2 linked regions of the Oreochromis niloticus genome follow. The protein of the gene in region 1 interacts with the protein of each later gene in a biochemical or structural test. Links are inferred from orthologs where the notes say so. Each region holds a gene or a part of one and is shown in the gene's direction. Other genes may lie near its edges.

The links.
Region 2: the proteins of myo5b (region 1) and rab11fip2 form a complex in vitro, tested with the Homo sapiens proteins (2 studies listed by BioGRID). The link is inferred for Oreochromis niloticus from reciprocal best matches to the Homo sapiens genes MYO5B and RAB11FIP2.

What each region holds. Positions count from the first base shown.
Region 1 is NC_031972.2:36,569,208-36,577,074, reverse strand, and holds the start of myo5b (unconventional myosin-Vb), read left to right. Parts: upstream 1-4,294; 5' UTR 4,295-4,686; coding exon 4,687-4,713; intron 4,714-7,867. UniProt on the Homo sapiens protein: May be involved in vesicular trafficking via its association with the CART complex. The CART complex is necessary for efficient transferrin receptor recycling but not for EGFR degradation.
Region 2 is NC_031978.2:25,621,781-25,629,656, forward strand, and holds the start of rab11fip2 (rab11 family-interacting protein 2), read left to right. Parts: upstream 1-4,478; 5' UTR 4,479-4,671; intron 4,672-5,387; 5' UTR 5,388-5,611; coding exon 5,612-5,964; intron 5,965-7,876. UniProt on the Homo sapiens protein: A Rab11 effector binding preferentially phosphatidylinositol 3,4,5-trisphosphate (PtdInsP3) and phosphatidic acid (PA) and acting in the regulation of the transport of vesicles from the endosomal recycling compartment (ERC) to the plasma membrane.

The sequences.
Region 1 (7,867 bases):
TGAAGTTATTCAATCATCGTGTTAAGGAAATATCACACTAACACACTCTGACACACTCTGAGGTTTTCATAGGTAAACTTGTGCAAGCACAAATAAACTCTGCATCATTTCATCATTACATCATAGCTGGAGGTGGGATGGACAGAATAACATGAACACCTCAGCATGACCACAGTGTTTTGTTTTTGTTTTTTTAAGAATGCTGAGAAATAGCAAAACAATCACCTGAAGGTCAAAATGACTTAAAAAAAAACGGTCTCTGCAGACCTGAAATCACCTGAATAACATATTCACTTAATATTTTCATTTATTTCAGTTCATCTTTATTTCACCTGATCGTGTTTGTAAACCAAACATAAACTGTATATCAAAGATGGACACAGCATCTAGGTCAGTAAAGTGAAGTCTTGCACTCCTCCTACTATGCAGGAAAAAGAAGTCAAAAAGGGAGTCTGACTGAATAGAAGTCTTTGACAAAATGAGTCTACTGCTCACCTGATCTCTGACCTCTGTGAATTTTTCTTGAAACTCCACCCTTTCCTCCAAATATGGTCGCTTCTGGTCCCACAGAAAGTAACATGGCAGCTGCCAAATTCCTAAGAAGTAAGCTTTAAACACTTGTTGCTGTCCCTCAGCACACCTCTGAAAACTGGTGAAAGAAATCAGCTCATCCAAATCTCTGAATCATGCACAGCTACCCTTGTAGAGTCAAAGAATAAAAAAAATGCTTACATGTTTATGCTGTCCATTTTCTTGTGTAACTAACTGTGTCTCTATTGCAAAGACTGACCACAGGACTGAACGGTGATTTGTGCAGCACCAATAAAGATTATTTTGAACTGTTAATCGTGCACAGCTCCTCTGTTCCCAAGCATGAAACAAAGAGCTGGAAAACAGTGATATGAATGCTTGTGCCACATTATATTTCACTGATGTCAGAGGAGCACAGGTTCAGGAACATTAATGAAAATCACAGGTCTGTCAGCCTCTGGTGAGATTTCTTCTTCCGTGTGCAGCCTGTTGAAGTTCTCTGTTGTTCTTTTTCACGCCTGTGTTTCACAGCCTTCACGGCTGTGGCAGCGTGATAAAGCCTGTTGTGGGTGGACCGGCGTCTTGTCAGATTCATGTGCAGGTAAACACCTCATACCAGCAGAAGGAGTGGTTTGGGAGTGGACTCATTAGCTGAGTAAGAATAATAGCTGTGCTCAGACAGGTCTGAGATGAGCTGCTGCTTCCCACAATCACTGTCACAGGATCTGATGCAGCTTCCTTCAGCACATGAGGATCTATTTATCAGCCGGAGAGGATGAGTGGAGATTATTACCCCTACTCCAAGGTAAAGGACCCGTTATCGCCTCTGTACTTGCTGTAAGAGCTCATATCTGTGGTTAATGTTCACACAAAATATTCTCTATAACGTTCAGCCTGTCGGCATTACACAACATCTCTGATAACAGACACACTTTACTGATGTGTTATCAGAAGGAAAAGTCTGACTTACATGAGAACATTTTATGTAAAACCAGCTTTATACTTTCAAATTTTATGTCTGTGAGGAGCTATTACAGGAAATAAAAAATGTGATGGGTGGTGGAGCATGAAGGTCAAATATCTACTTTTTCTGGCTCGATAGAATTTTTAGTTTGACTGTGTTTGTGAGAGATTTATCAACATGTCTGAAGAGAAAAGGATAAATTAGTTAGTTGGAAGGATTCTTAGAGGCCTGGATGAGACACAAAGAAAGCAGCCAAAAATCCTACATTTCCCATAGTGCAGCTGGATGGAGTCTTACTGCACTGAAGCAAAACATTAACAGTGAAAGAGACCCAAAATCTTGAAGCAGAGCGTAGTGCTCTTTTAGTGATGAAGTATTAATATCATCTAAGCAAAAGCACTGTATTTTTAATAATACGACTGGAGCTTGTTTACTTTCTATGCTGCTGTGTAGCTTCATCTGTAATAACAAGGCATAATTTCTCTCCAGATTCGTATTTTTAGATTTATGTCTACAAAGTCTCATGCACAGACTAGTTTTAGGCACCCTTTGGTTTTGAATCCTGCTGTGTTAGTTTTTTGTTTCTGGAGTGACCACATTTAGACGAGGTGGCGGAGTGCAAACTGACCACCCAATGCTAGCTAGCATGTTAGCACCAAGTTACATTCCTAGAATTTTACTAAAACTGGAGCTCAGACTTCTCTGCCGATCTGTGACAATAGTTAAACTCACAGCAACCATGATATTGGTCAGATAATTGCCTCCAGCAGCACGAACGCGGCAGCTACAGCCACCTCTCACCACCATAATAATGCAAACTGTAATAATTAGATCAAACCCAACAATCTTCACAAAGTCAACAAGGGAGAAATAGGTTATAGTAACAAAACAGTTTCCTGTATCAGCCTGCAAACATGTTATTTCTGCAGTAAAGCCGAACATTTTAACATGGGAGACTATGGGGACTGACTCAGCGTTGGAGTCTCAAGTGGTCATTAGAGGAACTGCAGCTGTGCAGGCTGACACTTCATCTTGCCACAGACTAGGAAATGCCTCCTGGCAGTTATTTAAAAGACTGAGTCAACAGTAATAAATTCTACGTCAGTGGTCACCAAGTCTGAGGACTTTATCCCAAAATAACATTTAATAGTGTTTTGCTTTTGTTTTTTTTTGTTTTTTAACGGCTGTCCTTGCAGGCTAACTGACATGCACAGGTTACATCGGATTAAGGTGTAACATGTGACATGTTTGCTGGTTTCAGCCTACAGTGTAACTCCTACTGTAAAATAAATGGATTTATAAAGTACATGATTTGCATTTAAAAATAGAAAGAAACATAAAAATTCTTAAGTACAAACCAGGTGTTAACACAGGATTTCTTTACATCCCACCTCATTATTGCAGCTTTGATTGGTCTGGCCTCTTTCTGGTTCCACTGCATTCAGTTTTTGTGGTCAATTTAAACACAAAGAGTTGAAGTGGAACAAAGCTTAAGGTGTGGAAAGAATGACACGACACGTTTGGATGAATGCTGTGAGGTGAGGAGGCGTGGACGAGCGTTAAATGATTAATTCTCACAGTGTGCAGCCTGTTTGCTTTCATGTCTGTTTGTCTTCTCTTTGTGACTGATTGTTTGACATTCTAGTTGTCACTCCGAGCCTTCAAGAAAACATAATCAACAAACAAAAGAAAGATTAAAAATAGAAAAATGTAAGTTCCTCTGAGGGTAGTTCTCTAATCAACCAAATGATGGTGCTATTGTGACAGCACCACAATTCCAATATTTTGCAATGCTTACTTAGACAGCTAATTTTGGTTATTTTTACTTATATTTTTAACGTTTTTTAAATATATTTGACTAATTGTGGTTTATATAGTTTTATTTATTATTGCTTAATAAATAAACCCTTGCACTTAGTGGTAAAAGTGGTACAAGGTCAGCAGTTTGTATTTATAATATTGACCTTTATAAACAGATTTGGTTGTAACTAGATAAAACATTAAAGAGTTACAGCAGTTTGACCGTTAAAGTGGCCACACCCACAAAGGTGTGTCAGCCAATCACAGAAAAGAAGTTTTAGGTTTTTAGAGGTCATTGATTATAATATATACAAAGTTTGGTGAAGAGTGGAAGAATATTGGAGAGCAGGCAGACAAAAGTATGTTTTTGTTTTATGTATGTATGTTACCAATGAGCTTCTCATATGTTGGAGGATTCCCACTGTGGGGTCTTCCTGCTCCATATATGGCGCTCTGAATTACTGTGAGAAAGACTGAAAGTCATATATGTTGTTTTATTACAGTTCATACACATGATTGACGCTGGATTTGCAATAAGTGAAATAAAATTCGGACTTTCAGAGTTTAGAGAAGCAGCTAGGAGTGATTATTTTAGCGGTTTAGCTCTGTTCACTTAGACCCACACAAATAATTCTATATACTGGAATAAACAGGCAGTGGAATTGCTGCCGTTTTCCACTGGATCCACAAACACAATCAGTCTTGTATTAATTAGTTCAGAATATTTTGCAAGGCTTCCTAATTTCTGAACAGTGGTGAGCTATCTGTACCAGATCTGACTGTGTGAGGCAGTGAATTTTGGAGAGGCTGACATAGTGTTGATGCTTTTACAGGGTTGGTATTCACAGAAATTCAAATAAAATGTTAACTTGGGAATTTTTTTAAAAAAAGGACCCCTCAGGTTTCTCTCAGGACCCTCTGTGGGGCGCCACGCCTCACGTTGAAGCACCCCGCGTCGTGTGTGTGTGTGGTTGAAACCTGGCTTGGAGCCAGGGATCAGCCAATCAGCGGGCAGTGTGGGGAAAACACGGCTGTCAGGAAGAACCGGCCTCCTCCCTCCACCTGCGGGTCGCTTCAGGCTTTTCGTTTCCGTTTTTCTGGATTTCGGGATCCTTCTTCCGGTTCTAACACTTTTCATCGGCTCTGAGTTTACCCTAAAGTATCCGAGGGTTCGTTTTTACCGGAGGAAACACCAGCGGGAGCGTGCTCCTTCGGACCGACACTACACCGAACAAAGTGACCGAAACTCGGCCAGACACCTGCTGCGGGGCATGCGCACTGGAAGGTCTCTGCTGGTTTAGGACCGAACCGGAGCGCAGAGGGACTCTAATGGATCATTAATGGGCACAAGAGGAGCTTGTTAGTGTAGTTTGATCCACCGGGAAGGCACAATGTCCGTGAACGAGCTGTACACGAAGGTGAGTTTACTTTTCACCTGGAAAACAGACGCGCACCTGCTGGAGCAGCTCCAGCCCGAACCCCGTCACTTGCGTCGCCTTTAGCCGCTCAGGTCTCACCTGCACTAAACTCTGAGCATGGTTTATGTTACCTGACGGTGTTTATTCAGATTTTAAAGAGATGAGTCACCTGTTGGGACTTGTGTTGGAACATTAGTACATGGCGCTGCGAGTGGAGAGTGAAGTAACGTTGGAGCTATAAATGTTGACGCTACAGAGGTGGGGTAGGGGGATATTTGGGCTGAATGTAAGAGAGGAACAGGTAAAGCCTGGATAACGCCAAGTAAAGAGACTTTACCGAAGAAATTCCACAGAATGCATACTTTACTGTAAAATGGCTAATTTTTGAATGGAGTCTTGCGTGCGGCTGAGCGGACAGGTGCAGGAGGCGCAGATTGAGTTAAAAGGGACCCGTGTTGGATTTCAGAGTGGTTCACAGGACTCAGGCTGTCTGTGAGGCCGTGCTTGACGGTTTCTGTGATCAGGGAATTATCACTGGTTGAATAAACCTTCAGAGCGAGACCGGAAGCTGGATTTCTGCTGGAAGTTTGAACCTGTTATCAGCCTGGAAAAGCAGCATTATTACACTCACTGATGATTCATCACTCAGATCACTGACAGCCCATCATCTGCTCACCTGCACATCCGTGATTAATGATTAAAGCTCATTTTCTATAATAAGCAACAAAAGAAAATCAGAGATGAAGTCATTGTCTTATCTAATGTCTTCATCCTTCAGCCACACGCACATGCACACAGTCAGATCATTAAATTTGTTGTGTTTGTCTTCCAGCTTAATATTCTTCAGCATCATAAACCGACAGGCAGAAATGGGAGAGAGAATAAAAACATAAAACAGCTGATGAGTAACAGGAAGAAAATGCTCAGACAAAAACAAAACAAAATAAAAAAAGAATAAAAGCAGAGAGACTCTAATGCATTGTGGGGATTGTAGGATTCAGCAGTGTTGTGGGTTCAGTCAGGCTGGGCTCTGTCCATCCTCTGATGGTTGGATTTCTTTGATTCGAGGATTCGACTTTGTTGTGTTCTACTCTTTAATCTGAGCTTCGTTCCCGGTCTAATCTGTGACTCTTTATTAACTCAGCAGGAACCTGTTTGAATGTTTGTGAACTTGTTAACCTCGCCTCAGCTTGAGTGAAACCTCTGCTCAATCAGGCTGTCTGAAATCTGAGATGCAAAGACTAAATGAGCTTCCTCCTGCAGCAGAACTCACTGTAGTCCCACTGTAGTCCTTCAGTCTGTACAGTCTCATGAACCACTGTAATCAGGCAGAAAAGTGTCTTCTTACGTCAGCATTTACAGCAGGGGGAAAAGTTGTGAGTTTAATTTTGTGCTTTTTTTCTGAGATCTTCTTGTGAGAGATGAGAATTAAAACTTGTCAGGTTGTTTTGTTTTGTGATCTTGGGCTCTGCTTCATTCTCTGAAAACTTTGAGTGCTGCTGTTTGAGTGCTGGAGTTCAGTGAGTCTTCTTCCTCATGCTGTTATGAGAAGAAAGTGACTCAGAAGCCGACTTTAATCTGTTGATGCTTCATTTTATTACATGCTGCTGATAATGATGGCCTTGACTCTGACACCAGATGTATTTTTAACTGCCGTCATTTTGTCGTAGAGCTCTTCTGCACCAAACTCACTTTGACTTTTGGACCTTTCAGTTTGAACTGAAGCAAAATTTAATGTGTGGACTGTGCAGAAGTGACAGCAGGATCTCTGACAGGTTAGGTTAGGTTAGACTCTGTAGACTAAAGTTAGCCTACAGCTTCAGATTGTGTTGATGGGATGTTTCCACAGCTTATGTTTATAAAGCTGTAGCTTCTTACTAAAATCACATTTTAAAGTTTCCGTGTTGTTTTATGTTGTTTTGCTTCACTGAACCGCATTTCTTTCATCCTTTTTAATTTAAGTGACATCATAAACTCTGGCTGAGACAGTTGTTGTCACAGGTTTTGGTCTCAGGATGAAAACCTCGTAGTAAAGGTGTCATAATTGGAAAAAAGGGGGAAATGAGCTGCAGCAGCACCTGTAGACAGGACGCTGGATCAGCTACGTTTTAAAAAGCTAACTGTAAATAATGACGGCAGGCTGTAGGTATGTTCAGAGGACAGAAGAGAGGTGCACACCTGTCATCGCACCTGTCCATATGTTTAACCTGTGAGCGCAGAGTCTGTGTTCCTGCAGCAGTAACAGTGAAACCTGTGAAGCTGGACCGTACGTGCTGCTGATACAGCTGCTGCTCCTCTACACTGAAAGGAGGCAGTTGAAGTGGCTCAATCATCTGACCAGGACGCCTCCTGTTCACCGTGTTATGTTTTATCTATCAGGGAGGACACCCCAGGACAGACCAGGACAGATTATGTCTCCCTGCTGTCTTAGAAAGGGTGGAGGAGGTGGGTGGGCTTCTCTGCTTGGATCCCTGCCCCCGAGATTAGGGGCAGCGGCTTCTTCCAGTCTTAAAAATACCGATCACATCGTAAAAATTCATTGCAATGAAAAAAATATAAACAGAAACAATCAAACCATCTCTGGAATGGAACAAAAACTGAAAAGTAAGAACTAAATAAAAACACGTGTGCAGGCGTAACCCTGAAGTTCATTCAGCTTTCAGTCGGTCATGTTTAATATTGTTTTACAAACAGTGAAGTTCATTCATGTGAACATTTCCACCAGCTGACAGCAGCACTTGTCTACATCCTCTCCACATTCTGCTGTAACCTCTCTTTTTAACCCATGTCTGAGAAACTGAGCCACTGTGTTTAGATGTGATCACCCAAAGCCAGCGAGGACGGGCGCCATGCAACCCCAACCCCCGCCACCCTGCAGAGGATGAGCGGTTGGACTGAATGATGGAGACTCGCGCAGAAGAAGTCGTCTTCTGCTGTGCAGGCCGGGATTAGCTGAGATTAATTACAGCTCGTTAGTCGCAGCTCTGCTCTGAGGACAGCGTGAGCATATGTTTCAGATTAGAATCAGTCAGACGCAGATTTCCGACCGAACCTCGGCACGTGTGTGTGTGTGTGTGTGTGTGTGTGTGTGTGTCTATGAGTCAGCTCTGAGCTGTAATCCTCCTCCTGGGCTCGGTGGTCCGCTTCATTAAGT
Region 2 (7,876 bases), on another chromosome or scaffold:
CTTTGTATCAGGTCAATACCAATACCAATACCACAGCACTAGTGGAAGACACATTTTTAAAAGGTTTTATTATTTGTTGAGCTTAAAGATCTGTCATTACTTTTCTGTGTTAATAAATACACAATGTACACTCGTCAATATTTAGACAAGTGGAAAAAGGCGAGAAGCAGGGTACAGGGTCTGTGATAGACTGTGGCAGTCCAATTTAGAATTAACTGTTAACTGCTTTAGACTGTGGGAGGAAACCCACGTATGCACAGGCACATGTGAAGATTGCAGAACATGCAATCTTCACACAGCTGACCAGGAGATTTAACCCTTTACCAATGCGCTAAGCAAATGTATCAATAAGGTACATTATCATTGCTTTGAATTCAGAAAGGTGCTTGAGGATGAGACATGTAAAATCCCTCCAACTGGGAGTGCTGAAGGTTGCCTCCTGTTGGGCATTGGTGAAATATCTTTAAGAAGACACATCCAGGACATCAGATGCCAGAAGTGCACTCTGATACCAGAATTATCCCTGAGATCTCATTGTGTCACTATCTAGAGCTACTGAACATAGATGAGTCCTGGAATGTGTTGTAAGTCGGCTGTTAACATTTTCCCCATGACAGTCCTGGATGCCTGGACATGATCTCAAGCTCATACCGTGCCTAACTGTGCAATGAGACTCTCCTGCTACCAATGCTCTAATTTCTACACTAGGGATAACATAAATAATGGTGGCGTCAAAACAGTGTCTCCCAGTATACCACAGGTCTGGGCTTGGAAATGCTGACCCTTGTTTCAATCACAAACAACATTTGAGCAAAACTACTTCAACAGCAAAAATCTAAACTATAATCCACAAGTCAGCAAACTAGACACAAGACAGCCATAAACACAGCCGGGCACAGGGCAAGACTATAGTAGAGGCCCATGCCCTCTGGCACAACAATTCTTCTGTTTATACAAGCATCAAATAGCTCCAGGCAGCAGTCCAGCTTCCATAACACCTCTTTACATAAAAGACCTTGTTTTGGAAATGAAGAAAAATAATTCTACACAGCTCAATACATGGTAAACTTAATATATACTTGGTTTATAATAACTAGGTTTAGAATGTGATGACAAAGCCAAATGTTATCAAAAAGCTGATTAGAGCCGCAGCTTTAAAGTTACCTATTTCCTTCTACATGGTCCTGCTCTTTACTTCTGTGTAAAGCACAAGTCATGAGAGGATGATGCAATTTTTTTTTCTAGTGTTAGTTTCACTTACTTTTTCTAAGGTTATGAGGTAGAAATCAAGACCTTTAGGGAGTCACCGGGCTGACATGTGGCCCCAGCTTAGCGGCCCTTTTTAGCTCTGCTCGTCATGCTGCAGTCGCACATCTGCACCTATATATCAAAGCCATGCACAAAAACATTCCTGAGAGCAAAGCAGGGGTGATTTGTGTGCCTTTCTCCTTCTTTTTTGATTAAAATTCATCTGTGATCTGACTGTTCGCTCAGCTAAAAGCTATACCTTTTAAATCAGTCATCCGTCCAGAACTTTGACCTGCACCACATTAAGACCAGCACTGACATCACAACTGTTTCCCCTCTCCCCGCCGAGTCTCATGCCTCTTTCATATATTTTCTCTTGTCCTCGACAGATGGACAACCTTGCAGCCAGAGATTTTTTAAGTGTTTAATAAATGTAATACAACCTATATAGTGTTGAAGAAAGGGCCCTAAACCAGAACCATGTGCGGGAAGTGGATGGCGGCCGTTAGGGGCCACAGCTAATGTGGTTCAACATGTGGACCGGGCCATGCTAGAAGGTTCACTTACATGTTGGACAGTTTATGACCTTCAGCGCTGTTCCCTCAAAATGTAGACAGCGTCCTTACATTACTATTCTCTAGTTTATAGCGTGATATTTTGTTTTTAAATGCACCTCTCCACGAGAGGAGAGTAATAAAAGGATACAGGTGATGTTGGAATGCAGTGTCTTTCATGTTTTTATCTCACAGAGAAGAAGCACTGTGGTATTATGTTCATAAAGGGGGTAATATATGAAAATGTTTGACTTATTGTCAAATTAAGGGGAAGAGTGTCTTGACCCTGGTTGTTTATCTGCATGCCTCTGGTTGTTATTTCATTCAGCTCGGTCCTGACACTGCTAACCACAACAGACAGTGAAGTGCTCCTGAGAAGGAATGTGAGTAGTGATGCGACTGGATAAATCATAAACACTTGGAAGTTACCCAGCAGCTGTGCAGGGCAATTGCTCAAACTGAAGTATTATCAGATCTTGACCTGAGTTGTAAACAAAAATCAGCAGACTCCCAATGGTTTTTGCGGTTTTGTTTTTCTGTAACTTTGCCCCTGCTTAAAATCAAACAGTTACAAATCTAAGATGTGTTTCTTTGTGGGGTTTTTTTTTTTTTTGCTATTGTATTTTAACCCGTCACTGGGTCAGTCATTGAGAACTCATGCTCTGCAGTCACATTTTGCACAATCCCACTTCCATCAAATGTCTAATAGGAGTGTGTCACTTGGATAAAAGCTTCTGTCACAGCTAATGCAATTTTATATTCTCGCTGGGAGACTTACTGAGCTCTCGCTCCCTCAGTACAGCAGCCAACATACTGAAAGAGCCGTCACACCAAGGACACCATCTGTTTGACCCGCTCCCCCCTGGTAGAAACTTCGGGTCCATCATGTCACAGACGAACAGATTTAAGAACAGCTTCCACCCTCATGTGAGAACTGAACACTCCCAAACATTTAGTGACTGCACTTACATTCCTAAAAAACTGCACAGATGTGCCCATATCTCAACTGCTCGATGATCCAGCAGTGCAATATCTCAGCTGGCATTCATTGCATTGCATAATTATTTATATAATTATATTTATATCATTACTATCTGAAATTAGCTGATTTTTACATTGTGACTGGTGCATGTGGTGTGGATGCACTTACAGGTTTTGTGCTCCATTTCTGCTGATAGACTATAAAACAGGGTAGAGAAATAAAACAGACACTGTGTTCAGACAATAATCTTTGACTTTGTTAAATCAAGTGAACTGACTACTATATACTCAAGAGTCTTTAGATAAAATTTACATTTTGCAAATTACAACTGGCCTGCTAATTTCTAGAAATATCCACAATGGTCTACAACTAAATGGAGTGGGATTTCATTTGTATTATGGATATGTGTTTACACACGTCTAAACTAGTTACACAAACACATCAAAAAGTTTGATAAAGATGCATTATCCCCTCAAAAGGGTACTTATTAAGGTGTGTTCGGAAAATATACACAGGATGCTTTATAATATTACATTTATTATATTTTATATTTTGTAATTGTTTCTGAAAACTTAATATCCTAAATTACAGCAAAGGTTTTAAAGTCTCTAAAGCTATAAAATAAATCAAATTCAAATACGTTTTAAGATGAATACGTTAAAAAAATGGCACAAAGCAAGTGGAATACATATTGTTACTTTTTTAGCAGAGTGGATCATACCCGGCCTTACTGAAAAAAATCTTCCAGCTAAAGGAATAACTTGAAGAGGTTTGTAGAGAAAACAAACCTGAAGGTGCACATCAACCTCAATAAATGTAAATATTATATATGCTATATTTTAAAAAATATGTTTTATGTATAAATCCGTTTTAGGTGACACAAAAGCCTTTTTTCCAAGACTAAATGTGATATACAGGCTATGGCCAACATTTTGCCACTTCTAAATGCTTTAAAGCCACAGCTACAAAGAGACATTGTACTTTCATATTCACCTAATGGAACAGCTAATGTAAAACATGAGGGTGAGATCCACGAATGTATTAAATGCTATCTGACTCACATTTTTGTACAGCCTAATATTTCACTAAGCCTTAGCATTTCATTCAGAGATGTACTCTAGATAAGTGCAATAATCTCAGTTTGATGGATGGCCCAGCCGGAGCCTAGGGCCAGTGGTGTGTACATACTGCACTGGTTGCGGCAGAACGATAAAAACCCACACAGGCAGGTGTGTTTGGTTAAGATGCACTTGTCAAGTGGGGTGACAAGCATGTCTGTGTTCATTCAAGTGAACCCCTTATCGGTACCTCCATGTCCCACTCATGAGACAAAAGCACTTCCCATGTTTGTATGATTTACCTCTCAAGAAAATGCGCGAGCACACGCACGCTGTGCACACACATGCGCAACAATATCTCACAGAAAGTGTGTTTGCTAGAAATTTATACATATTTATATATCCTGTCATTGCTGCTTACCTGTACAGTACACCCACAACCCAGCACCAGTACCGAGTATGGAGAACATTCTTCGGTTATGCTGAATTTGTTTTTGTTTTTCAACTTTTTCTTCGTCTTTGGATATTTAAGCAGCTTTCATTGATTTTTTAAAAAAAAATATTCTTTCACCTAATTCCCTTAGAACGCGCGAGCGAGCGCTACCACCTTATTTTGACACCTCAACTTTCACCGGGGTGAGCCGGAAGTGATGTCAGACTAGGAAGTAAATCTCGCCACTGGCCGTCAGCAGTGAGCAGTAATGGACTGCAACAACAGCAAGTTCAGCGAAGATTAGCCGAAAGTGTCGCATGAGTGTGTTTGAGGGAAGAGTTTGTGCCGAGCTGAAGCGCTGAATGTCCGTGTGGTGTTGGTGAAAATGACACCGAGGTAAGAAGCTGTGTGCTTGTGTGTGATGCTCTCTGTGTGCTCACCAGCTAGCCGCATAATGCTAACGTTGTCCTCCAGTCTTAACTGAATTTACCCCTAACAAAGCTTCACGAAAAAGTGACAATTTAATATTGCCTCGCATCATTTAATTGTTGTAATCAGTTTAGTAATATTTACTTTTGACAAACCTGTGGAGAGACGCTCACTTAAAGGGACATTGCATCTTAATGTAACTTACATGGCTACTTACACCACTTCTTTCATGTATACCTGCATCAATGCGTCATCTAGAGTTATCTAGAGCCACAGCCCATGACTGCTTTACTTGAATATGTGCACAGCTTCTTAATCTCAGTCAAAACCTCTATTTTCAGTCTAAACTAATTTGAAAATGATACATGAAACGGTCGCTCTATATCCCACTGAGTGACTCACTAATTCAGTGACAATGACACCAAAATGTGTCACTGGATGAGATCATCAATATCTGCCTTGAACCTCCATCTTAGGGACATATATTTAAAGATATTGTGCAAATCATACAGTGCAAAATGTGATTTCTGCTTAGCCGTATTACTTCCAAAGTGGCTGCCATCAAATTATTAGCAGGCTGCCTGCTTTAATATCAGTTTTCTCTGTGTCTTCATAAGCCAGGCTTTCATTCTTGGCAAAAATAATGATGTTTTCCTGGTTCTTTCTGTTCTGTTTTCTTGCAGATGACTCAGCAGTGGCTTGGACATCTGTGATCTGACAGAAGATGAGACTTGCTCAGTTTGTCAAACTTATGGTCCACTGTAGAAAGTGCTGCTAAACGCTGATATCAGACTATAGTGAATCATGATTGCTGCTTCTTGCATGTCACACTCACTGAAAAAAACTGCTGCATAAATTATATTTGACTTTATTTTGAATGGATTTCAGTTAACAGTTGGTGCTTACAATGTCACTGGGCGAGCAGTCTCAAAAGTGGTTTCCAACCCATGTCCAAGCCACTGTTCTTCAAGCAACTGGTTTACAGGCCAAAGGCAAAAATGGCACCAATGATGCCTACACTATCATCCAGCTGGGCAAGGAGAAGTACTCAACATCAGTGGCGGAGAAGACCCTTAACCCTGTGTGGAGGGAAGAAGCCTCCTTTGAATTACCTGGCCTACTTTTGGAGGGCAACCCAGAAGTGTATGAACTCTGCCTCATAGTGATGCATCGCTCTCTGGTTGGGATGGACAAGTTTCTGGGTCAGAAGTGCATAAATCTTAATGAAATCTTCGATAACAAGGAGAGAAAGAAAACAGAGTAAGTAATAAAAGTGTATTAAATATCACAAAACATCACAAAGGTTCTTAGGGAAGTTTTTTGGGGACATAATCACTACTGCAGTGGGCTCTAGAAGTGATCCATTTATCCTCATTTTTGAAGAAGATTATGTTATAACCATGTGTTTTTGCTCTCTGATATATATATATATATATATATATATATATATATATAGACACACACACACACACACACTTCTTGGAAAATATAATTCCCTCAGATTTTTTGGGACAGAAATACTATTATTAGCAGTTTTTGCAGTCATTGCAAGGTCAATAGTTTCCCTTCAAGAGAAGACCTGGGCTGGTTTTAACACTAACACAAATCATGGGACATACAGCACTTTTTTTTAGATAGTATAGTTCTTAGACATTAGCATCACATGTACATTATTCAGGGTCTTTAGTCTGTAGTGTCTTGTTGGTATAGAGACAGACCTTTGAGAGGAAGTGGAAAATATTTCCACAGCCTTTCCAGTCATAAGTGGATTACACCATGAGCTAAGTCAGTTGTTATTTGTCACATTTGCCACAAGTATTACTGCCATATTAGACTTCACAAATGTGCTGTCTTTTGCATGTTATATTAGGCACTGTGGTCTCAATTAAGGTCATGACCCAACCCTGTTGCGCCACATGATTTAAGTACCATAGTGTTGGCCTTATTTTCTTTGTGCACTTGCTTTAGAAATACACTTTATTAGATACACAAGTTTTAATGTTAAGAGCAGAGTAAATGAAATGCTCTAACAGAAGCACTTCACTTTAAAACTATTTAGCACACCAGTGACACACTTTCATGCTCAGTTAGCAAGGACATGTTGGTTGTACTTTTTTTTTTTTTTTTTTTTTTTTTTTTTTTTTTCCATCTTCATGACACTGTATTGTTTGAGGCTTAGCAATGGATTGGCCTACGCTGCAGAGAGATTATTTTAGAGTAATTACTGACACCAGTTGACCTAACTGAAACTAGTGGAGCTGGACAAACATGTCTTGTTAGCCACTCCTATACTCCATTTTTTGTTTTTGTTTTTTCAAAGGTGTGAATGTAATATGGGCTCTCCTTCAGAGCCAAAGACGCCTGGGATTAAATCTTGGCTTGTTTCTGTACAGTTTAGTTTCCCTCGTGTTAAAATCTGGCCTCTATGCATTGTGCCTTTCTTGGTGCAAAATACATTCAAGTTTGGAAACAGATATTTATCTATGCCACTATATTGGTGGACAATAGTGGGCGTCTCTCTGAGTCATAATTGGGTGACTTGTTAAGGCTGCTTAGTTGCCTTCAAGTAAAGCCATGCCAGAATAAGGTTTGTCCTCTTTAAAGTTACTGAAAAAAGATTTGAGGAGAGAGATCGATGTATAGATGTACATTCAAATAAACTAACACAGTGTAAACCATCAGAGCTTGGAAAGACTCTGCTGTATTTGGCTAAACTTTGGTTGATGAGCCTTAAAAGTCCAACACACACACACACACATTTCTTAACCCTACATTAAGCAAACAGGAACTGCGAAACCAAATTGGATCTGGTGTTAATTAGCTCACTGCACGTTTCGGGGGGGGAAGGACATTAGCTGACTTCCTCTTTGCCCATCAGTTGGGAGAATCACAATATGTTATAATCAGTGTGAACGGGTTTTATTTATTTAGGTGCCTCAACTGATGCACCTTGAGGCTGTGCACTTTTTCAGCAGTGGTTCTGTAACGGATATCGCTGTGTTGCTTGCAGGCCTAATACCCACGCCGCAGCCATACTTGACAATGATGCCAGGGCTCTCGATAATATATCCGAACTCCACAGTGGGTCTCTGTTCACCACGGCCCATCCGCAGTGTTTTTGAACTGGCATATTGGGGAGGAAAGCCCGTACTGATATCTGAGAAGGCAGGCC